Pelodiscus sinensis: one gene and its partners. The main gene of each other region encodes a partner of the protein of the gene in region 2 in a complex. Links are inferred from orthologs where the notes say so. Each region holds a gene or a part of one and is shown on either strand. Other genes may lie near its edges.

Evidence for each region.
Region 1: the proteins of GINS3 (region 2) and GINS2 are in contact, whole or in part, in a crystal structure (PDB 2E9X), measured with the Homo sapiens proteins. The link is inferred for Pelodiscus sinensis from reciprocal best matches to the Homo sapiens genes GINS3 and GINS2. Residues at the interface, in NP_073607.2 of Homo sapiens: Leu13, Gly14, Tyr117, Ser121, Leu124, Asn131, Ala132, Ser135, Gln136, Leu138, Leu139, Gln140, Phe142, Ile143, Phe146, Arg147, Ile149, Met150, Asp151, Ser153, Gln154, Ala156, Met171, Gly174, Leu175, Thr178, Gly179, Gly182, Leu183, Asp185; in NP_057179.1 of Homo sapiens: Asp2, Ala3, Ala4, Glu7, Met93, Glu94, Lys97, Asn101, Trp121, Ile125, Arg129, Val130, Ala132, Asp133, Val136, Arg137, Gln139, Met151, Thr155, Ser156, Thr158, Phe159, Leu160, Gln162, Ala163, His166, Met167, Lys169, Leu170, Arg171.
Region 3: GINS3 (region 2) and MCM3 share a complex: the UniProt entries of both Homo sapiens proteins name them as parts of the CMG helicase complex. The link is inferred for Pelodiscus sinensis from reciprocal best matches to the Homo sapiens genes GINS3 and MCM3.

The regions. Positions count from the first base shown.
Region 1 is NC_134722.1:6,384,628-6,392,101, reverse strand, and holds the start of GINS2 (DNA replication complex GINS protein PSF2), read left to right. Parts: upstream 1-4,473; 5' UTR 4,474-4,560; coding exon 4,561-4,650; intron 4,651-6,731; coding exon 6,732-6,846; intron 6,847-7,474. UniProt on the Homo sapiens protein: Required for correct functioning of the GINS complex, a complex that plays an essential role in the initiation of DNA replication, and progression of DNA replication forks.
Region 2 is NC_134722.1:46,266,353-46,273,906, forward strand, and holds the start of GINS3 (DNA replication complex GINS protein PSF3), read left to right. Parts: upstream 1-4,554; 5' UTR 4,555-4,589; coding exon 4,590-4,769; intron 4,770-7,079; coding exon 7,080-7,313; intron 7,314-7,554. Other genes in the region: diacylglycerol O-acyltransferase 1, read right to left, coding at 4,183-4,261. UniProt on the Homo sapiens protein: Required for correct functioning of the GINS complex, a complex that plays an essential role in the initiation of DNA replication, and progression of DNA replication forks.
Region 3 is NC_134713.1:8,420,627-8,428,400, reverse strand, and holds the start of MCM3 (DNA replication licensing factor MCM3), read right to left. Parts: upstream 3,002-7,774; 5' UTR 2,889-3,001; coding exon 2,805-2,888; intron 1,337-2,804; coding exon 1,224-1,336; intron 1-1,223. UniProt on the Homo sapiens protein: Acts as a component of the MCM2-7 complex (MCM complex) which is the replicative helicase essential for 'once per cell cycle' DNA replication initiation and elongation in eukaryotic cells.

The sequences.
Region 1 (7,474 bases), about 40 Mb from region 2:
CAACCTAAATCTCCCTTGCTGCAAGTTAAGCCCATTGCTTCTTGTCCTATCCTCAGAGGCCAAAAAGAACAATTTTTCTCTCCTCCTTGTAATGCCCTTTTAGATACATGAAAACCGCTATCATGTCCCCTCTCAGTCTGCTCTTTTCTAAACTAAACAAACCCAGTTCTTTCAGTCTTCCCGCATAGCTCATGTTCTCTAGGCCTTTAATCATTTTTGTTGACCTTCTCTGGACCCTCTCCAATTTCTCCACATCTTTCTTGAAAGGCAGTGCCCAGAACTGGACACAATACTCCAAGTGAGGCCTAATCAGCACAGAGAAGAGCAGAATAATGACTTCTCATATCTTGCTCACAGCACTCCTGTGAATGCATCCACGGGATGGGCTGCAAAAGAGAGAAGGCTCTGGGGTCTTTTGGCTGGGAACATGGAGACTGGGCCCGAACTTAAAACACCTGGGATGCAGGCGGCTCCCTTCCCCTGGAGGCTGGAGAGGGGGGAGCAGGAAGTAATAGGGCTGGGGGCTGCTCTGTCCAGTGGGGCTGAGGGACACGGGGGTTGCAGGGCTGCTCCTTCACCCCAGGTATGGTGACCATATTTTCTGAACCAGAATTAGGGACATGTTAGCCACGCCCCTGGAGGTAGTACTCCCGGGGTCAAGATGGACACATGACCAGAAGAAAAAGGTGTTACGTGATCCCTCTAAGAACTCCTCCCACCGTCCTCTTACCAATAGGGATGAGTTTGGTCCCCACAGGATCCCCCATGTAACTATCCTGCAATTGCATTAACCCAATTTGCATTGTATTAACTCGGGGGGAGAGGCTGGGGGAAGTGTTCCTTCTAAGATTTTCCTCCTATGAGCGGAGTACATTTTGTCTTGTGCACCAGCATTGAGTGCATGTGCACTTGTTCGGATGTGTGCCACTGTGGCACCCAAGTTATTAATAAATATCTTATAAACCTCTCCCTCTGCTGCCATGTCTCCTCCCCTCCCCTCGTCCATCTGCTCCCCACCCCTCACCCTCCTCTGCTGTCCTAGCTCCTGCCCCCCTCCCCTGCACCAGCACTTCTCTTCCCCCTGTGTCCACTCCTCCTCCAGCCCTGTCACGTTACTGAATGTTAAGGGGTGCAGCCAGATCACTGCTGAACCCCTGGGGGGGGAGTGTTTGCCCCAAAAGTTGGTACAAAGGGGGCCATGTGAGGTGTCAAACTTACTTTCTTCTGATTCTATATATGCTCTTCATATACCTGTATAATGTCTGGGTGTGACGTTATAAATATGTACTCTGTGTCAATATTGGAAACTTCTCTGTGGCTGAGCATTAGATGAAGAATGCTCAGCCTATGGACATGCTAATGAGCAAGTCTCCATGGAACAATAGTCCTCTATAGGCCAAGTTCACACCTCAAGAATAGTGACTGATACCTAAGGGCTACCAGCAGGGAACACAGGGATAGGCCACGGGCCAGGTGACCTGCTGCAGCCAAGAAGAAACTGGTATAAATATGCCACGTGGCCAACTCCATCTTGGTGCTCAGCTCAGCTCTTCATCCCAGAGGCAAGAGTGCCAGGGATCGAGGAGCCGGAAAGAACTGTGGACCCATCCTGACGTAGGATGTTCACCAAAGACTTTTAAGCCAGTAGTTATAACATCTCTGCTGCAAGCCTGCATCGAGAACTGGGTGATTCGATGCATGTAATGTATGATACTTTAACAACCTTACTCTCATGCTTTTCTTTCTTGTAGTAATAAACCTTTAGATTTGTGGTTTGTGGCTAAGATCCAGAGTGTAAATTGACCTGGGATCTGTGGCTGGTTTTTTGGAACTGGACAGAACTTGTTCAGGGAAGGTGAGATTGGGCTCTAAAACCCCTCACCTGTATATGAGGCCCAAGGCCACCTGGGGCACGGATATTGCTGGGGTGTCGGAGGGGTTTTGCTCATGAGGCTTCAGGCTGGCCAGGCAGGCAGCTGAAGCGCTCTGTGGGGCTGGTTTGTGGCCTATTTGGGAAGGTCTCCAGTCTGGGGGCTATAGAGAGCCCCAAATTTGAGCAATTCGCCCTGAGCAGACACCCTCAGCTGTGCCCAGACTCAGCCCGGTCCATCACAAGCCCCACTCTGATCATCTCTAGCTACCCCTCCCCATCCCCTCTCCTAACACCTCCCTCTACCCACCTGCCCTGCCTCTCTCTTCTGCCCTCTGGTGCCCATCCCTCCCCTCCACATGACTACCCTTCTGCTTCACCCCCACAATCCTGTGGCACCTGCACCTTCCTAGTGCCTCCCCCTTCCCTCACTGCCCCTGCCCTCCTTGCCTTCTTTCTCCCTGGTGCCCACCCCCTCACCACCTTCTGCCCCAGTTCCTCTCATGTTCCTCTGTGCCCTCACACATGACTTGCTCCATCCCCAGCCTTCCTCATGCCCACCCCTCCTTTCAAAGCCTCTTATCTGGGTGTCCACTCCTCCCCTCTCCTCTTCCTCCCTCTTGCCTCCATTGTTCCTCCCCTTTCCTCTCCCAGCATCACCCTGTCCCCTCCCCACTACCACCCCCCCCAGACACCTTCCCTCCCCTCATGCCCTTTACCTCATTGTCTCCTCTTGTCCCCTGGCATTTATCTCTCATCCATCCTGCCCCTTGGTGATTTCCCCTTTCTTCTCCTGACTAGGCTCCCTGCTCTCCCCTCAGCACAAGCCCGTTCTCCTCACCCTCTTCACCTTCTGCCTTCCAGAAAGCAGTTTGCGAGGCTGGAGCTTGTAGTCCGGCTCCTGAAGCCCCCGCAACCATAGATGCGGGACTGGAGTGGAGACCACCCATGGTGCTATTTTTAGTGCCACGGTGCCATCCCCGCAGGCTGCCCGGCTCTCTCTGGAGTCAAGCGGTAGCCGCACAAGGCATGTTCCGGTGAAGCTGCCCTGGCTGGAACGCACCTTGTGTGGCTGCCACTTGACTCCAGCGGGAGCTGGGGCCACCTGCAGGGACCCAGACTGCAGTACTAAAAATAGCACCAGGGGCGGCCCCTGCTCCAGTCCCGGCACCTGCCGAGACCGAGCGTGCCTCACACTGCAGTGCCCCAGCCAGACTCCATGCGGCTCCTGCTGGGGCTCCAACACGGCCTGGAGGAGGAGGAGGCAGTGCCACGGGACCAGGACCTTCCTCAGCAGAGGTGGTCCCGCGGGGGAGAGTGGGGAGGGAGAGGAGGGGCCACATGCCACCAGAAGCCGGCCCCTCCCTGGCACCCTGCTGTGGGGAGTGGGAGAAGGCTGCTGCACCGGTGTCTCCATCAAGTAGTGCAATGTCCCGCGGGGCTTTCCGGGACATTTCACTATTTGATGGGGCACTGGGACAGGGCATTTCAATCTGGGACAGTCCCGGAAAAAACGGGACGTATGGTCAGTGTATCCATGGGGCTTGGAGGGGGAGGGGCGCCCAGCTGCTGCTCCATCCCAGTGAGGCTGGGGGGGAGGGTACATGGGCTGCTCCATTCCAGTGAGACTGGGGGGGGTACATGGGCTGCTCCATCGCAGTGAGGCTGGGGGGGGCACATGGGCTGCTCCATCTCAGTGAGGCTGGGGGGGGGCGCATGGGCTGCTCCATTCCAGTGAGACTGGGGGGGGGCACATGGGCTGCTCCATCTCAGTGAGGCTGGGGGGGGCACATGGGCTGCTCCATCCCAGTGAGGCTGGGGGGGGGGCACATGGGCTGCTCCATCCCAGTGAGGCTGGGGGGGAGGGGCGCATGGGCTGCTCCATCTCAGTGAGGCTGGGGGGGGGGGCGCATGGGCTGCTCCATCCCAGTGAGGCTGGGGGGGGGGCACATGGGCTGCTCCATCCCAGTGAGGCTGGGGGGGGGCACATGGGCTGCTCCATCTCAGTGAGGCTGGGGGGGCACATGGGCTGCTCCATCTCAGTGAGGCTGGGGGGGGCACATGGGCTGCTCCATCTCAGTGAGGCTGGGGGGGGCACATGGGCTGCTCCATCCCAGTGAGGCTGGGGGGGGGGCACATGGGCTGCTCCAGCCCAGTGAGGCTGGGGGGGTACATGGGCTGCTCCATCCCAGTGGGTCTGAGGGGGAGCGGGAGCTGCTGCGTCCCCACGGCTCCAGGCTAGGAGGCGAATCCCCCGCGGGAAGGAGCGCGCGGAGTCTATGACACACGGCAGCGCAGGCTCAGCCGGGCCCGCCGACAGCAGCGCTGATTGGCGGGAAACAGTCTCCCGCCAGGGGCCCTTCTTCTGAAGAGCGTTCTGATTGGCTGGAAGTCATTCCCACCCTTCCCGGCTCAGCCAGTCACGTCGCACTGCGTGTCTGACTAAACCAATCACAGAGAGAGAGAGACCATGACTGTGCGTAAGCCAATCAACGCCTCCTACGGTAAAAGCCCCTCCCCCCTAGCTGAGTACGGGAAAGCGCGGCCCGCCTTGCTTCGCCTCGCGCTGCTAAGAAACGGGCCGCCGGGGGCGGGATTTATTTCCCTCCCAGCCAATCGGACTTTTTTGTCGCCTGGCGCGCGCTGGAGACTTCCGGTTCCGGTTCTGGCGGCGGGGCCGCCTCAGGGCCATGGATCCCGCCGAGGCCGAGTTCCTGGCCGAGAAGGAGCTGGTGACCGTCATCCCCAACTTCAGCCTGGACCGGATCTACCTCATCGGGGTGCGGGGCCGCGCTGACCGTAGGGCCCGGCGGGGGGGGGGGGCGGAATAGGGGCGGGGCTCGAGGCTGAGGGGCGGGAACGGCGCGCGGGGGGGGGGGGTTCGGGTGCCGGGGGGGCGGGGCCTTTCGTCGGGCTCCCCAGGGGGGCTGCTGCCTTGCGGGGAAGAGCCAGACGCTGTAATAGCCCGGGGCTTCCTGCCGCCTCTCACCGTGGAGTCTGGGCGCCTGTAGCGGTGACCCCGCCCCTCGCGCCCCGTGGTGAATGTTACCATGGCAACGCCCCGCCCGGCTCCCCCGTGCAGCATCAGGGGAGTCCAGAATCACCGGCCCCGCTTGCCTTGCTGTCAAGATGCCGCCCCTGTTCCCTCCACAGGCATTTCCGAATCCCAACACGCTCACGCTGGAAGGGACCTCGGGAGACCATCAGGTCCAGTCCTCTGCCGCAGGACCAAGCACCGTCTACATCAGGGCTACTCAACTTTGCAAGCCCTGGGGGGCCACAGTGATATTCGCAGCATATGCCAAGAGCTGCAACTCCAGTGTGGTTGCATATATGTGCACATAGCTTCTTTCACGCTGATGGGCATGAGTACAAAAGATTTAAGGCAAGACTAGACAACAGTCAGGCCCCGTTTAAGTCCATTCTGCTGGTATTAATAATATGTAATATTTACCTGATTTCCACTTATATGAGAGCACTTTTAGGCTACACTGGTGGGTTCTTGCGCAAGAAAGAACATCTTGCACAAGAACATATCCACACCACCATGTGCTTTTGCCCAGAGCATCCATGGCAGTGTGGACGCTCTCTTGCGCAAGAAAGCTCTGATGGCCATTTTAGGCATAGGTCTTTCTTGCGCAAGAAACCCCTGCCACACGTCCACGCTGTCCTCTTACACTTGTGCGCAAGGAGCCCTGGCTTCCGATGCTGTACTGTAAATCTTCTTGCACAAGAGTGGGTGGGCAGTATGGATGCCGTGCAGGTTAGACATAGCCTTAATGAGCAATGACAGTCCAGAATTTAATTACTAAAACGCAGCTCAACAGACAACCATTATATTGACTTGCTGTTGTGCAGCGTGTTCCCAGTTGAGGCCATGATCAAAGGATCCCACCACTGGGCCATGTGTTAAGGCCCATGTAAACCCAAACTGTACTGCAGGCCACAAACAGCCCCTGGGCCGCATGTTGAGTAGTCCAGGTCTAGATCATCCCTGATAGGTGTCTGTCCAACCTGCCCTTAAATATCTCCAGTGATGGAGATTCCACAACCTCCCTAGGTAATGTATTCCAGTGTTTAACCACCCTGACAGTTAGGAAGTTTTTCCTAATGTCCAACCTAACCTCCCTGGTTTTAATTTAAGTCCATTGCTTCTTGTCCTATCATCAGAGTCCAAGGAGAACAATTTTTCTCCATTCTCCTTGTAACACCCTTTTAGATACTTGGAAACCGCTATCATGTTCCCCCTCGGTCTTCTGTTTAAGCCCTATTCTTTCAGTCTTCCCTCATAGGTCATGTTTTCTAGACCTTTCTAGACCATTTTTGTTGCTCTTCTCTGGACTTTCTCCAATTTCTCCACATCTTTCTTGAAATGTGGTGCCCAGAACTGGACGCAGTACTCCCAACTGAGGCCTAATCAGTGCAGAGAAGAGTGAAAGAATGACTTCTCATGTCTTGCTCACAACACTCCTATTAATGCATCCCATAATCCTGTTTGATTTTTTTGTAAAGAGTGTCTCACTGTTGACTCATATTTAGCTTGTGGTCTACTGTGACCATGACCCTTAGTGCTGGGAAAAAAGGTTTCATATATATATATATATGAAAAGTACTTAGGATAGAAAATGCCATAGAAATGTAAGTAGTTATAGGGAAAAGAGAACTGTGCTTGGATCTGGGACTAAGAGGAGGGGTCATTTCAGTTGGCATGGCATGGCCTCCCTAAATCTACTGGAAACTGTTGACCCTTCTGATGCATGTGAGGCTGATGAAAGAAACTAGATTTTCAAAGCAGTGTCACAATTTTGTATGCCCTGTTAATTCTACTTTCCTTATTTTCATACTTAATTTAATTTTACAGGGAGATTTGGGTCCCTTTAATCCTGGACTGCCTGTGGAAGTGCCTCTTTGGTTGGCTATTAACCTAAAACAGAGACAGAAGTGTCGGCTAATACCGCCTGAATGGATGGACGCTGGTAAGGAGAACACACATTAGCCAGGCTGCAGAGCTAGTGGGGATTACTGAAATACAAGAATTGAGCCTTTGCACTTTTCCCTAGAGCAAATTGCAGAAATGGTAGGAGGAAACTGTTTCCTAATGCAGTGCTCCTGAGATTTTTCAAGACCTAGTATGATTTTAGAGAGACAAAGTGGGTGTGGTAATGTCTCTTGTTGGACTCACTTCTGTTGATCTAAGAGACAAACTTTCGGGCTTACGTGGAGGCAGGGCTTGACAAATTATACAATCTACTCGCTCGTGGCGAGTAGATTGTAACCCGGAAGAGCCGGGTTCCGGCGATCTGTGCATGCGCAGATCACCGGACAGCGCGCTGCCGCAGTTCGGCGAGCCCTGTGTGAAGGTATTCTTCAGGTCTTGTCTCCTTCACCAACAAAAGTTGACTCAGTTAAAAAAAAAAAAAAATTACCTCACCCACCTTGAGTCACTAATACTCTGGGACTGACACTGCTATGACAGTATTCCAAACTAGGGATGTGATAGTGTACACCTTTAAATGGTTAACCAATAAGCCTGAATGCATCAATTAATCTTCATGGTGACATACAAGCCGTCCTCTTTTCCCCCCATGCTGCTGCCTCTGAGCC
Region 2 (7,554 bases):
GGGACTTGAACAGGGTTCAAAAAAGAGCTACATAAATTCATGGAGGTTAGGTCCATCAATGGCTATTAGCAGGGCTCGACAAACCGCTGATTCTACTCACCCATGGCGAGTAGATTTCAGCCGGTTGCTCCGTGCACCCCATTCACCGGCGCTGTGCACATGCGCAGTGCTGGTCTGGCGCACATGCAGTGCGGGGCTGGCGAGTAGCTCTCACCACGGTTTTTTAAGCCCTGGCTATTAGCCAGGATGGGTAGGAACGGTGTCCCTAGTCTCTGTTTCTCTGGAGGTGGGTGACAGGGGAGGCACCACGTGAGGATTACCTGTTGTGTTCCCTCCCTCTGGGGCATCTGGTATTGGCCACTGTTGGCAAACAGGATACTGTGCTGGATAGACCGTTGGTCTGACCCAGCATGGCCTTTCTTATGTTCACAAATATATGAATATATTTGGGGCCATACTTTTTTCAAAGTCTCATGATCACTATATTCTCTATGGAATTCTTCTATTCAGGCTTTTTTTCAGGCTACTGTTTTTGGCTACATTAGTTACCACCCTTCGAATTTACTGCTGACCACACTAAAAACAGGCTGGAATTTTCAAGAATGTTGATGAGAATTAAGCTCCTGACGCCTTCTGAAATCTGCTTAGTGTTTTTCAAAATCCCACCCTTATCTTTGATCCATTCCCAGTCCATTTGCCAGTATGTCTTTGATTGAAAGGGAAACAAAGTGGGTTTCAAAAATATAATTCTGCTTAAGACATCAAAAACTGTGAGAACAACTCAAATTGCTACTTCCCACGAGTGCACTGATGCTCATATTTCTTTCAAACCTACTCAAAGCTTGGTATGAGAGACTGATAAACAAAGCTATAATTCTTGATAAAAGGAAAATAAAATCTTTAACAATGATAGAAAAGTTCTGTTATTGTACAGATTACCATTCTTAGTAACAGTGCAGGTGTTTTATTGTTATTTTATTTCTCAACATGCACAATTAAAGGCAGGGCAAACAAGGTTTAATTAAGCAAAGAAAAAATGAATTCCCCCAAAAATGTAAAACATTTTAAAAGTTCTAAACAAGACAAGGACAAAAGAAGTCAAAGTATGCTCTCAGTTATACCAATGTAAGTCTTGAGTAACTCCAGTGAAATCTGTGAGGTTACTCTGGAGTTATACTTGTGTACCCAAGATCAAAATCTGGCCCAAAGAGTTTGACTTTGTGCTAGAGCATTATCTCTGGTCTATTGAGTTGTAACACTAAAGTGAATGTGGCATTTGAATTACATTCCAATAATCTGCCTCAGCATGAAAACAATTTAACAATTAAAACTTTGGCATTAAGAGATCATTAAGATATACTTAAACCTACTTAGCATTAATTTGTCTGGATTTTCACTGTGTCCCTTATTAAGCAGAATGACCCATGTTTCCACTACAAAAAACAACCCTAACCACATAGATTCAAATTCATACTCACTGTGGTCTTTATACAATTTGTGGATAAGGCCAGATTCACCCCTTGGGCACAATGGAGTGCAATTTGCAGCTTCCCTGCTGTGCCTGTTAGAATGGCTGCACTAAAGATTCAAACTTCAAACACAGGCAATTGTGATATCACAGGTGCTCTCCACTAGGGTTCTGATAGGGAAGGATAGCTTTAAAACTCAGTCGACATAGAATGTCCAAGGCTAGTCTAGACTACATGCCTCTGACGACAGAAGCATGTAGATGAGGCCACCAGGCATAGAAAAATGAAGCGGCGATTTAAATAATCGCCGCTTCATTTAAATGTACATGGCTGCCGCGCTGAGCCGACAAACAGCTGATCAGCTGTTTGTCGGCTCGGCGCTGTAGTCTGGACGCGCGGGTGTCGACATCAAAGGCATTTGTCGACCACCCAGGTAAACCTCATCCCAGGAGGCATACCTGGGTGGTAGACAAATGCCTTTGATGTCGACACCCGTGCGTACAGACTACAGCGCCGAGCCGACAAACAGCTGATCAGCTGTTTGTCGGCTCAGCGCGGCAGCCATGTAAATTTAAATGAAGCGGCGATTATTTAAATCGCTGCTTCATTTTCCTATGCCTGGTAGCCTCATCTACATGCCTCTGTCGCCAGAGGCATGTAGTCTAGACGTAGCCCAAGAGAGGCAAGGATGGTTTGTACCCCTATGCCCCAGAAATCCAGGCTGACTTCCTGCTGTCAGCAATACACTACCAGAGTTGCATCATTGTGAACTTATTCCAGTGCCTGTAACATCCAGTCACAAAGGTTTAGCTGAAAAGATGAGCCTAAGACAATATGCTGACAAATTTGAGATCTGACACCTGTCAGGAGAAAATTCCAGACATGGGCCTTCCAACCAAGACCTGCTTTCACCGAGATCGGTTGATTTCAGCCATCACAGAGGAGATGGCCACACTCTAAAACAAACAAATACCAAATCACGTAGGCCCAGATATTCAAAGAGGCACCTCAAGTCCATGCAAGTGAAGGGTGTATCTCAATACCTTTCATATTCCAGGCCAGACAACTTTACATCAAATTAAAAAAACAACACTTTGTCTTGCACCAAGGTATTGATGGGAAGCCACTAGTTTATAGAATGCCACAAGAACATACCTGCAATCTGCCCCCGATTTAGACAGGGTAGCTTAAAGCTTCTGAATGATTTGGTTTTAGTGTTAATTTAAATTCTTGGAAGGAAATGCTGGCCTCATTACAGTCAAGGAGACTTCTGTCAGGATTCCTCCTTACATTTTTTAAATCTAAAAGGCTACGTCTAGACTGGCATGATTTTCCGCAAATGCTTTTAACGGAAAAGCTTTCAGTTAAAAGTATTTGCGGAAAAGAGCGTCTAGATTATCACGAACGCTTAAAAGTATCCGTGCCAATCTAGACGCGCTTTTGCGCAAAAAAAGCCCCGTTGGCAATTTTTGCAATCGGGGCTTTTTTGCGCAAAACAAATCTGAGCTGTCTACACTGGCCCTTTTGCGCAAAAGGACTTTTGCCCGAACGGGAGCAGCATAGTATTTCCACAAGAAGCACTGATTTCTTACATGAGATCATCAGTGTTCTTGCGGAAATTCAAGCAGCCAGTGTAGACAGCTAGCAAGTTTTTCCGCAAAAGTAGTTTGCGGAAAAACTTGCCAGCCTAGACACAGCCAAACTGTAACTTCTTTGGAAGCAGAGACCGTCTTCCTACTGAATCCGGTGCAACATGTCATTTTAAGGTCCTTTCGCCACAACTTTTGGGGCAGAGGGAGAGGGGTTGCCCAGAAGGTAGGCGTTCCCAGGCTATGTCTAACACAGCAACATTATGTCTAGACTACCTAGTTTTGTCGACAAAAGTGGACTTTTGTTGACAAAACTATACCAGCGTCTACACTACCGCTGAATTCTGTCGACATAACGTCGACAGAACTCAGCAATTTTGTCGACGCTGGTATACCTCATTTTACGAGGCATAACACCTTCTGTCGACAGAAGGTGTTATTGCCTGTAACGTTGCGTCCAGACTACGGAGTTCTGTCGACAAAGCAGCTTGCTTTGTCGACAGAACTCAATATGTCTGGACGCTCTTTGTCGACGGAAGTTTTGTCGACAGTATGTGTCGACAAAACTTCCGTCGACAAAACGCGGTAGTCTAGACGTACCCACAGTCTGCAGCGATGCAGCTGGCAGTTATTTCGACATACAGTCCAAATCATGTCGAGCTGGAGGGCCACTTGCTGCAACCCGTGACCCTCATTGTAGAAGGAGCAAGGGAAGCGGGAGGCAGAGGGCTCTGGTTTGAAATACCTGCTGTGCAGACAGCACCAACACTTGAATGAAGCTACTCAAGGGCAGTAGCTCCACTGGCGGGTTAGTTCCGAGTTAAGCCCCGCAGTGCACGGCGCGCCCGGGCAGGGCTGGTGGAGCCAAGCCGCACCACTGCGAGGGCAGGGCGGTGTCTCCCCAGGGTGTCACTGCGACTCCACCTGCCCGGGGAGGAAAGGGGCCCGGGCGTGTCCGGGGGTGCGGGCGAAGGGCGCTCGGCACTGGGGCTTGTTACCCGCGGGGGGGGGGGAGGAGGGGGGGTCTGCGGGCACGTCGTTCGTCGCTGAAAATGGGGATCCCCCCCCGCCCCCATCTCACCCGCGGCTACGCCCCTCCCACTCTACCGCCCCTCCCCCCTCACATGCTCCGCCTCCCGCCGGCCCCCGGGCCTGCGCTCCGACGACGCGCTGTCGGTTACCGGCCGCCCCCGCTGGAGTCATGAGGCAGCAGCACGCGCCCCCCCCCCCCCCCCCGCGCTCGCGCCGCCCGCCCGCAACAATCCATCGGGGGGGGGGGAGACAGCCCCCGCGTCAGGCACAAAGCGGCCCCTCCCCCACACCCCGCGGGACCGGGCACCCCTCGCGGCTATTTGCAGCGTGACTGACTGACGAGGGCGCGCGCGCTGCCCTCGATTGCTCTCGCCTGGCGCCGGCTTGCGGAGCGGGCAGAAAGCGGCGCATGCGCGCTGTCGCTCCCCAGCCTTGGCCGCTGCTTCTGCCTGACCGCGGCGGAGCGCGGGAAAGGGGGTTGGGAGGTTGCCGCCCCGCCATGTCCGAGGCCTATTTCCCCGTGGAGCCCGGGCTGGGGCCCGAGGAGAACTTCCTGTCGCTGGGAGACATCCTGATGTCCCAGGAGAAGCTGCCGGGCCGCGTGGAGGCGGCTCTGCCCCGCCTGGCCGCCGTGCTGGGAAAGGGCTCGGGGGCCGGCCAAGGCGACTGCATCCCGGAGGTAACGCGCGGCCGGAGGGCGCCGGGACTACAACCCCCGGCAGCCACCGCGCGCTGGTGGGGGCGGGGCTTGTCCCTTCCCGCTGGCCTGAGGAGCGCTCCGTTGTGTGAGTGACGGGCTCCCGGCTGGAGCGGGGCATGCTGGGAAATGCAGGCGCCAGCGCGGTGTGACCAGGGCCCAATGGGGTTCTCCCCGGGAGCGCGCGCTCGGCCTGGGCTTGCGCGAGGCTGCGGGGTGGGCCCGCTGGGCTCCAGCACGTGTACGGCCGCGGGGGGGTCTCTTCGGAACCAGGTCTCCCTAGGCAGCCGGGGACTTCGCTTGCTAACCGCCCCCGGGCTAGGGCCTGCCCGCGTGCTGCCCGCGAAGCACTGCAGCGAGGCGTCCCGCAGGTCTTTGCTGCGAGTTGTGGGCGTCGTCCAGGGACCCTGCCCTGCCGTTCATTGCACCGCCAGCAGCACCCCAGCATCGCTGGCACCTGCAGGGTGGAGGTCTGAATCCCCCCGAGGGGCAGCCAAGTTAGTCGGCAACTGGGGTGGGCAAAAGCCTCGCAGGGGCTGGATCCAGCCCCTCGCATGTTGCCTGGGAGCTGGAGACGTGGGAGCTTCTTTCAACTGCTTCTTAAAGGGCTCCTGCCTTCCCCATGTCTGTCGGGCAGCGGGTTGCCTGGCAGCCACAGGCCACAGGGCAACACAAGAGCCCTTTAAAGAGAAACAGTTAAAAGGGCTGGCAGCTCCCGGCCCCTCTAGCGCGTTGCCAGGGAGCTCAGCCCTTTCACCTGCTTCTATCTAAAGCTGTTACCTGACAGCTCCAACCAGCGGGCACAAGGCCTTGAAACCAAAGCAGTAGAAAGGGCTCATAGCTCTTGATCCCACCAGCTCCTTGCCTGTGAGCTGCCTGTGAGACAGAGTCCTTTCAACTGCATCTTTCAAAGGGCTTGCGGGTGCCAGGCAACAGGTTAGTGGGGAGGGGGGAAAGCTGTGTTATGTGAATTCTAAACCTCCACCCAGACAACTCTGGGAGAAGGCTAGCCCCTGGTACCTTTCCCTCTGCTCCAGGTCTCTTCCACCAGAAGTCTGGGGGGGACCCCAGGTCAAGTACAGCTGCCAGTTGGGTAGCTCTCAATCCCTCCCCTTCTCCGCCTGAGGCCCCACCCCTTCCAGGTCTGAAATTTGTGAAGTGGCCCCCTCTTCAAAAATTATTACTCACCCCGCTATAACTGGAAAAACTTAAAAAACGAATAGTCTTGCAGCACCTTAAAGACTAACAAAACATGTAGATGGGATCATGAGCTTTCGTGGGCACAACCCACTTCTTCAGATGAATGAATCCTGACAGTTGTAACTCTGAAGTGTTATGGTTGTCTTTTTCAACAGTTTACAACTGAACGTTGTAAACCTTGAACTTGAAACCTTATTATGCAGAAGAAAAATGCTACTTTTACCCATTTTAATTTAAATTACACAAGCACAGAAACCGTTTCCTTTGACAAATCTTTTTAAATGTTTTCATTTTAAATCTTTTTAGAAGTTTATTTTTAATAGCTTACTTTTAACACTTGATTATTTATTTATTTATTTATTTTGGCCTCTGCTGCCTGGTTGCAGTGAATGATTGATTCTAAGGATGTTAAAATGTGGTTAATTGACTAGTCAATGGAATTTCCATCGACTAGTCGATAGGCACTTCCACATTCCTCCTTTGAAATGTACAAGAGCCCCAGGAGGCTGACTCCGGACTCCACCTGGGTGCGTCTTTGAAATGTACGAGAGTCCCCAGCGGAGGCCAGAGTCGGGGGGGGGGGGGGGGGACTCCAGCAATGGAGTGATGGGGGGCTGGAGCACCAGTGCGGGATCCCCAGTGCTTGGGAGGGGGGAGGGAGCCCTGAGCCTTGGGGCCTGGATCCAGGCAAGCTGCGGGCCAGGCCTGAAGGTTCCCCACTCCTTCCTTAAATTTACTTCCTGGAGTGGTCCTGTTGGCGGAATCATATGAGCAAAGTTGCAGATATTTGAAAGTGTCTGCAGGATCCTGGGGCTCTACTTGTAAATTTCCTTACACTGTAGTATTGTTTTTATCCTTTCAGGGTTTGTTTACGCGCCGCGCGCACTCACACGCTCTCTCTCTGGTGTCTATAGGCGTTATCTTTCTCAAATAAAAATCTGATTTACATTCGTTTCCACTACTACACATTGACATCAAATCACTCTCTGGTGAATCTTCAGTGTTCATCTAAATCTCATGTTTTTTGTTATCCTGGTCAGAGTTTATTTACCTCTGTTTCTGGGGGGTGGGGTTTCTGTTGTGTGCATGCAGGGCTCAAAGGTGGAAATACCCCTATGGCTAGCAAAAGGATTGTATGACATCAAACGGAGGATCCTTTCAGTGGAACTGCCTAAGATTTACAAGGAAAGCTGGCGGACGGTGTTCAGTGCTGATGCCAATGTGGTTGACCTTCATAAAATGGGGCCATACTATTATGGTTTTGGCTCCCAGCTCTTGAATTTTGACAATCCAGAGAATCCAGAAATAGCTCAGACTATACTGCAGGCAAGTATCTGAAACCATATTTCCTTTGGTAGCTTTGGATTCCTTTTTCTTTGCTGCGCTCAGGCAAACCTTCTTCTGTTGTAACCATGGTTTTAGCTTAAATAAGGACTTCCAGGTCAGAGAACATAAGAACAGCCGTACTGGGTCAGACCAAAGGTCCATCTAGCCCAGTATCCTGTCTACCAACAGTGGCCAGCACCAGGTACCCCAGAGAGGGTGGACCGAAGACAATGATCAAGCG
Region 3 (7,774 bases), on a different chromosome or scaffold from region 2:
AGCCATGAGGCAGGGGGGAAGCACATGGCTTATGCCTTGTGGGCCCAATCAAAGCAAGACATAGGCTGGATTGGGCCCCATGGACTTTCCAAGGCAGGGTGAGAGGTACCCCATATCCACTGCCCCCTCCTGTATCCCCTGCTCAGTCCTCATGTCTGCACGCTCCTTCCTTCCCTTCCAGACCCTGCACCTCACCTCCAGCCTCCTCCTGTACCCTCCCTCCCAGACCATGCATCCTCACCATGCTTCTGCCACCTCCCTCCTGCCCTGACCCCATACAGTCTAACCCATTCCTGAACCCTCCCTCCCTGACTCCACAACCATACTCCTAGCCCTCTCCCCGACTGCCCCCTCTCACACACTGGACCCCTCATTTTTGGCCCCACTCCAGAGAGTATCTCTGGGCCCCCAGAAGAGTTAATCCAGCACTGTGGTGTAACCCCTGAGCCTCAGAGCCTCCCCTATCTCCAGGACTGGAGCTTGAGGGAAAGGTCTTCTTTTCCTTCTTCTCACTGGGGACCAGGTCAGTGAGGACTGTGGAGGGTTTATTTTTTTGCTTCTCACTTGGTTAGCCCCCAACTGATTTTTTCTCTGTGGGTCAGTGGCCACCAACCTAAAAAAAAAGATTCCCCACGCCTGAGCTACATCATGATAAATGCTACCTGTGCTTCATCTCCTATAATTTTGCATCAAGATGGCTAATGCATGATAGTTATCTTGCTGTAACAAAAACAACAACAAACAATAATAAAACAAAAAGCACACACTTTTCTGGTTGTGAAGATATTACCTTAGCACAGGTCTACACAAGAAACTTTTACAAGTGTGTTAGTATTTCTTTTTTGGGGGAAGGGTCAGCACCATTTCAACACTGACAAAAGCCCTGCTGTAGATGCTGCAATACCAGCATAAGCATTTTGGCTGGTACATCTTATTTTGCTCAGAGTCCCTCTAAAAGGTATAGCAGCAAAAGTGCTTAGGGTACCTGTGTAATCTACATTTCCTTTAGTAGGATTTGCTGGTGTTAGTACACTGGACAAACCTTTTCTACTACAGAGCTTTAGAGAGAAAGTAATAGTTTAACCCATTGACCTGCCTGCAAAGTTTGCCAACATGGAAACAACAACTGTACAGGCTCTCCTCTCATACTACTCACTACATGCTGTGCAGGAGCCAAGTTGGAAGAAACACTCTTGTCGAGTTCCTTCACAGGTTACTCTTACCGGTTGGCTCTCTTCTCGTTCTTCCTCCTCAGCTCATTGATGCTAACAATCAGACGATACTGATTATCGTGGATCATATCCCGGACTTTGCTCTGGTAAACTCCCTGGTCCTCCTGCAGCATGCCATGAGAGAAAGGTTCCCTTTTACAAAGTTAAGCTGGCGAGATGCAGCCCATTTGATTTGTCTTTAGTGGCTCAGGAAATCCCCCCCCACCCCCTTCCTGTTATTCATGCTGGATATCTTTGTTGCAAGGAAAGGCCAGATAGAGGAATGCAGTGTCAACACCTTCACTTTGAGTTGGAAATGCAGTTCCCACCTCGAAGAAACATAGGATCTAAGTTATGCAGCTTCAGTTATGCAATTACCATAGGTGAGGTCAGCATATTTAGATCTACTTACTGCAGCATGCTTGACGCAGTGCACTGACAGGCAGTGCTCTCCCATCAACTCCCCTTGCACTTATCATTGAGGTGAAGTACCAGAGTCAACGGGAGAGTGATCTGTGGTCAATTTATCGTGACTTTAATAGACTTGATAAATCAACACCAACTGGATTGATCACTGAGCCAATGGTGAAGACAAGCCCTTATTCTCACCATCTCTGATTGAGACGGCTCACTAAATATAGAGCATAACCAATAGTGTAACCAAACCAGCAGGAGGGACTAACCATCAAAATTATGTACTTATATGCATGTGATCTCAGACATTTGCTGACACAGCATCCTTCTATGTTTGGTATGCTAGCTCCATCAGAGCAAGCACAAGAATTTATCCTCTACCTGTGCGGTGTTTTAGATGCTGCTTGTAATTATTAGAACTGGGAGCACTGGCTGTTGGGAATCTGGAAGCACAGGAAAGAGGAAGGAGGGGGGAGGAGATGGGCCAGGCCTGAGTGAGAGCTACAGAGGGGAGCAGCAGCAGCTTTGTAAAGAGGTTTCACCTTTGTTAAATAAAAGGCCTGTTGAAGTTTGTTACTATCTTGCTTGCATGATACAACAACTTGGGGATCACCCCCCCCCCAGCTTTCAGTACAGACTGCGTTCCTTTTTAGTACCCTATGCCTTCTTGCAGATAGTCAGTTACAACTCAAGCTGCGAAAGAGAAAGACACTCCCCACATTCCCCTTGCACACCAGAGCCAAAGGGGGGGGAGGGCAGGCTAGTAGATTCTGTGCGCCCCAGCCCCACAAGTGCGGTGGCAGTGCCAGCATGGGCTCCCCAACTGGCCGTGCACAAGATGGGGGGGGGGGGTGTGCAGGGCAAAGCGTTAAAACGAGATTTTTAAACCTCCCCCCCCCCCCGCGCCTGAGCGGAGCTACGGGACTGGCCGTGCACAAGATGGGGGGGTGCAGGGCAGCAGCCCCACCTTGCAAGGACCGCCCCCCCCCCGGGAATGGGCGTGGTTTGCAAGGGGGGGCGGGGATCTCCTCCCCCCCAGAGGCCAAACTTGGACACGGGGAGGGGGGAGCCCCCCCCGGGCTGGGGAGGGAGACAGGAAACCCAGCAACAGCCCCCCCCCCCCACGCCTGGGTCCTCTCCATACCGCCCCCCCCCGGCCCGGAGCTCGCCCAGTCTCACCTCGTCGTCCAGGAAATCGAGGTAGTCGCGCTGCGCCTCCCGCAGCTCCGCGTCCTCCAGCCCCGCCGCCGCGGGGGCCGCCATGGTGCCTGCGCTGGGGAGCGGGGCCGGCGCCGTGGAGCAAAGGCTGGACTCAGGGGCGCCCGCGCTGCCGCTGGCTCCGCCCCTGGCGCCAAAACCGGCCGCGTTTTCCCGCCACCGCAGGGGTCACCAAGGCTCCGTCTCCCATTGGCCAGCCTCTGACTGAGCCGGGAAGCGGCCGGCCAATACCAGAGAGCGGGAGAAGAGGCCACAGCTTCAGCCAATCAGGGGGAGAGGCTGAGAACGTTCGGTCCTTCACGCTGTAGTCCGCCCTCGAGCATGCTGGGATGTGTAGTTTCTACTAGACGCTGTGGGGGCCAAGGGAGCATTGCATGCTGGGAGGTGCATGCCTGCCAGAGGCATGCTGGGCCATGTAGTCCATCACGGGTGCATGTTTTAGGGTCAGTTCTGAGCCATAGCAAGTCAGGCATTTAGGCCTAGTCTCTGCTACATCGGAAGGTCGAAGTAAGATACACAACTCCAGCTATGTCTCTTACATCGCATTTCTGTGCTCTGCACACAGAGGGAAGCCAATGGGAGGAGCAGGAGTACCTGAGCCAACCCGGTTGCCCTTCCAGTTCGATCTAGAGGATGAACCCACTAAATCGAACCCCCAAAAATCTACCATGGCAGTGTCTTCCACATAGTGTAGACATGCCCTTGCAGTGTTAATATCACTGTATTACGTAGCCATGAGCGAGCCTTCCCAAACCTATGAGATTAGTAATAATAATAAATGAGGAGAGGTTGTGCTATGTGCTTTCTGGTTGTTCAGCCCTTACGATAGAAATAGGGAGGTGTTAGTCTGATCTTGTTAAAACAAAAGGGAAAACTATGTAACACTAACAAGATTGGTTAATAGGTGATGAGCTTTCCTGGGCCAGACCCACTTCCTTAACTCATATTCTGGAAGAGAATTGGCATGACCATATATACCAAAAGAATACAATGAAAAAAGTGAACACATTATTAAACTGACAAATCAGATTTAGTACAGAAGGTGGGGCCAGGGAGAGGAAGGGAGGGGATAGCTATATATGAGTCAATGAATGGCTAATTAGGGGTGATAAGTGGAGAAACTTTGTAATGGGTAAGATAATTAGCATCTTAAGGCCCATTCGTAAAGTGTCAAATTTAAGCATGAATGAAAGTTCTGAAGTTTCCCTCTGTAATCTGGTGTTAAAGTCTCTTTGAAGTAAGATGCATGTAGTAAGGTCGTTAAGACTATGTCCGATAAGTTGAAATGAAAACCAACTGGTTTTTCCTTGTGAAGATGTCTGATGTCTGATTTGTAGGCATTAATTCTGTGGTGAAGTGTCTGAGAAGTCTGTCCAATATACATAGCAGAAGGACACTGTTGGCACATGATGGAATAAATTATATTTCTGGACGAACAGGATGAACTGGGATCACATTTTAATGCTTTTCTGCAGCTCACCCCACTTCCTCTACACTAGAAACTTATGAGTAATTAAAATGGAAAGAACTTTAAAAACTAATGGTCCTGTAGCACCTTAGCAACAAGCAAAAATATATATATAATATCATGAGCTTTCGTGGGCACAATCCACAGATCTCCAAATGGCTGTCTTGTTACAGACCAATTTTACACAGAGAAGGGTTGGAATTACAATTCATCTACAAATTAATTCTCACACCTATGGCCTCAATCAAGATAATGGATGGCTGGGACATTATCAATCAAACAAACAATGAAGGTGCCAACAGCTCTTTATCTGGGTAGATTTTTGTAGTAGTACTTTTCCTCTCTTAATTGCTATCCTATGATCCTTATCTTCTTCTTTTTACTATTCAATTTTTAGGAGCTTACTGATTACCAGTTTTGCCTTTCTGGTTTTCCCTTTGGCCATGTCCAGACTCAGGGGTTTTTTCGGGAAAAGTAGCCTTTTCCCGAAAAAACTTCCCCTGCGTCCAGACTCAAGCTGCGTTCTTTCGAAATTATTTCGAAAGAACGCGGCTTTTCTTTCGATGGTGGTAAACCTCGTTTCACGAGGAAGAACGCCTTCTTTCGAAAGTTCCTCTTTCGAAAGAAGGCGTTCTACAATGTAAAGAGGCCGTCTTCGAAAGAGAGCATCCAGACTCGCTGGGTGCTCTCTTTCGAAAAAGTGGATTTCCTCTATTGAAAGATCCGCCTGCAGTCTAGATGCGATCTTTCGAAAGAGGCTCTTTCGAAAGATGCTTTTGAAAGAGCCTCTTTCGAAAGAAGCCTGCAGTCTAGACATAGCCTTTGATATTTACAAACCCTCTGCTTCTTGTATCCTTCTCCCCTATTTATTATTTTGGGTCTGGACATCCTAAACTCAATTCTCTGGTAATCTGAAGAAGTGGGCTGTGCCCACAAAACCTCGTATTCAATTAATGGAGATTGTCTATCTCCTAGAGCTGGAAGGGACCTTGAAAGATCAAGTTCAATCACCTGTTTTCACAACAGGAGCAAGTACCATCCCTAACAAATTTTTGTCCTAAATGGCCTCTGCAAGGATTGAACTCACAATCCTGGGCTTAGCAAGCCAATGCCCAAACCACTGAGCTATCCCTCCCCCACGGCTACATGTTTTGTTAGTCTATTAAGTGCTACCAGACTATGTGTTGTTTTTTAAGTTTATCCAATACAGATGAACTTGGCTACTCCCTGAAGCAGTGAGAAGAGGATTATGACCTATGTAAAATGCTACATCAAAATCTTTAGTCATTCCAATTCAGTCCCACTAGGGGGAAGCAGATTCCAATGGAACACAGTTAACTGTTCTGTGTGTGCACAAACGAGACTAGATAATCAGTAAGTGCCCTATTTCCTCTTTACAGGGTTAGGTCTCAGGCTCAGCTCCACCTATATATCTGAAATCTGCTAAATAGCTGTTGTTATTGAATTAGGATGATATATTGAATGTTCAAATATAATCACCCTACCCCTCTAATCCTTTCCCTGGTTCCACAACTGAAACAGTACAGTTCTGCCCCTTCCTTGCTTCTCATTTTTCGGGTCCCACTCTTTTCTCCTCTCCTCTTGGAATAAACTTGGTTGGGGTCAATACAGCTTCACTAGTGTAAAATTGCTGACTGGAGAATTAGGCCTCCCCAAGTCCTGCAGTTCCACCAATTCTGCTGCCCTTCACGGCCATTTTGCTACTTCCTGTGCTGGCCCCTACACTAATAGCCTTCCTCATCCAGTATTCTCAGCAGCCTCTTGGTCCTTCAAATCTATCTCTTTTCGCAATCTCTCTTAGAATGAGCTAAATTCTCCTTTTAGCTGTAGTGACTTAATTGGGACAATGAAACTGAAAGGGTGGATTTGTGCCCACGGTTTCACACCTCCAAACTAACCTTTGGCATTCTAGGCAAATGTAAATATAAATTCTAGGCTAATGTAACATAATCCTTGCAATGCAAGCGAGTGCATAATCATATTGCATGCATCCTGCCTCTCCCTCTGCTATGTCTCCCTCCAGCATTTCATCTTGTGTATTACCTAGGCTGGAAGATGTTTGGAGCAGTGACTTTGGACCTGATTATCCACTGAGCAGGTGTAAAATGCTACCCAGTCAGGATGGTAACTCACTGCAGACATGCAGGATGGTGGAGAATGATGTCCCATTGACCAGATTCTGGTCCCTGCTCTGGCTGCTTCATGTGTTTCTGATGGCGCGAAGCAGTCAGAAAGCATCCCTAATGAAGCTGGAGATTCCCCTCAGATAAGAGAATCTCTGGGTGGCATAAACTAGACTAGTTGACTCTATACAGACAAGGAAGTATGTTGGAGCCATAAAGAAGTATGGCCAAAGCACAATGCATTCCCAGGTTCCTAGACTAGCAGAATAAGCGCAGAAGGCCAGATGTTCCAGCTGGTGCCAGTTACAGCATCTTTGAGGGTGAGGATGATCTAACCTACGCTTGGGGTCAAATTAGCTCTTGGTAGCCTCCAAAATCAGAGGGGATGGAAAGGTGTAGAAAGCCATCTATGTCTCCTATAGGGGTGCATCAATCATGGCTCAGAGTCACCTGCAGATTTGGCCTCATCTCTTTATTTTCTCTGAAAAGCACCATGCACACTTAGGCTACGTCTACACTGGCATGATTTTCCGAAAATGCTTTTAACGGAAAAGTTTTCCGTTAAAAGCATTTTCGGAAAAGCACGTCTAGATTGGCAAGATGCTTTTCCGCAAAAGCACTTTTTGCGGAAAAGCGTCCGTGGCCAATCTAGACGCAGTTTTCCACAAAAAAGCCCCGATCGCCATTTTCGCGATCCAGGTTTTTTTGCGGAAAACAGTACTGTGCTGTTTACACTGGCCCTCTTGCACAAATGATTTGCGCAAGAGGGCTTTTGCCCTAATGGGAGCAGCACAGTATTTCCCCAAGAACACTGACAATCTTACATGAGATCATCAGTGTTCTTGCGGAAATTCAAGTGGCCAGTGTAGACAGCTGGCAAGTTTTTCCGCAAAATCATTTGATTTTGCGGAAAAACTTGCCAGCCTAGACACAGCCTTAAGGTACATCTACACTACAGAGGAAGATCGAAGCTGCCTCTGTCAATCTTCCAGGGTTCACATTAGTGGGTCTAGTTAATTCAGCTCATTCGAACTGAGAGGGGCACTCCGGTCAATGCCAGTACCCCTGCTTTCACGAGGAGCAAGGGAAGTCGAAGGGAGAGAGTGTGCTCCCTTCAACTTCCTGCAGTGTGGACAGCACCAAAAGCCGAGTTAAGCTACTTCTACTTCAGCTACGCAATTAACATAGCTGAAGTTGTGTATCTTAATTCGACTTTGTCCCGTAGTGTAGATGTACCCTTATAGTCCCATGAAGCCATGGTGAAGAAAAGCAGCAGAAGAAGAAAGGTTATGGACTTACTCTTGGAGTTCTGCTGTCGA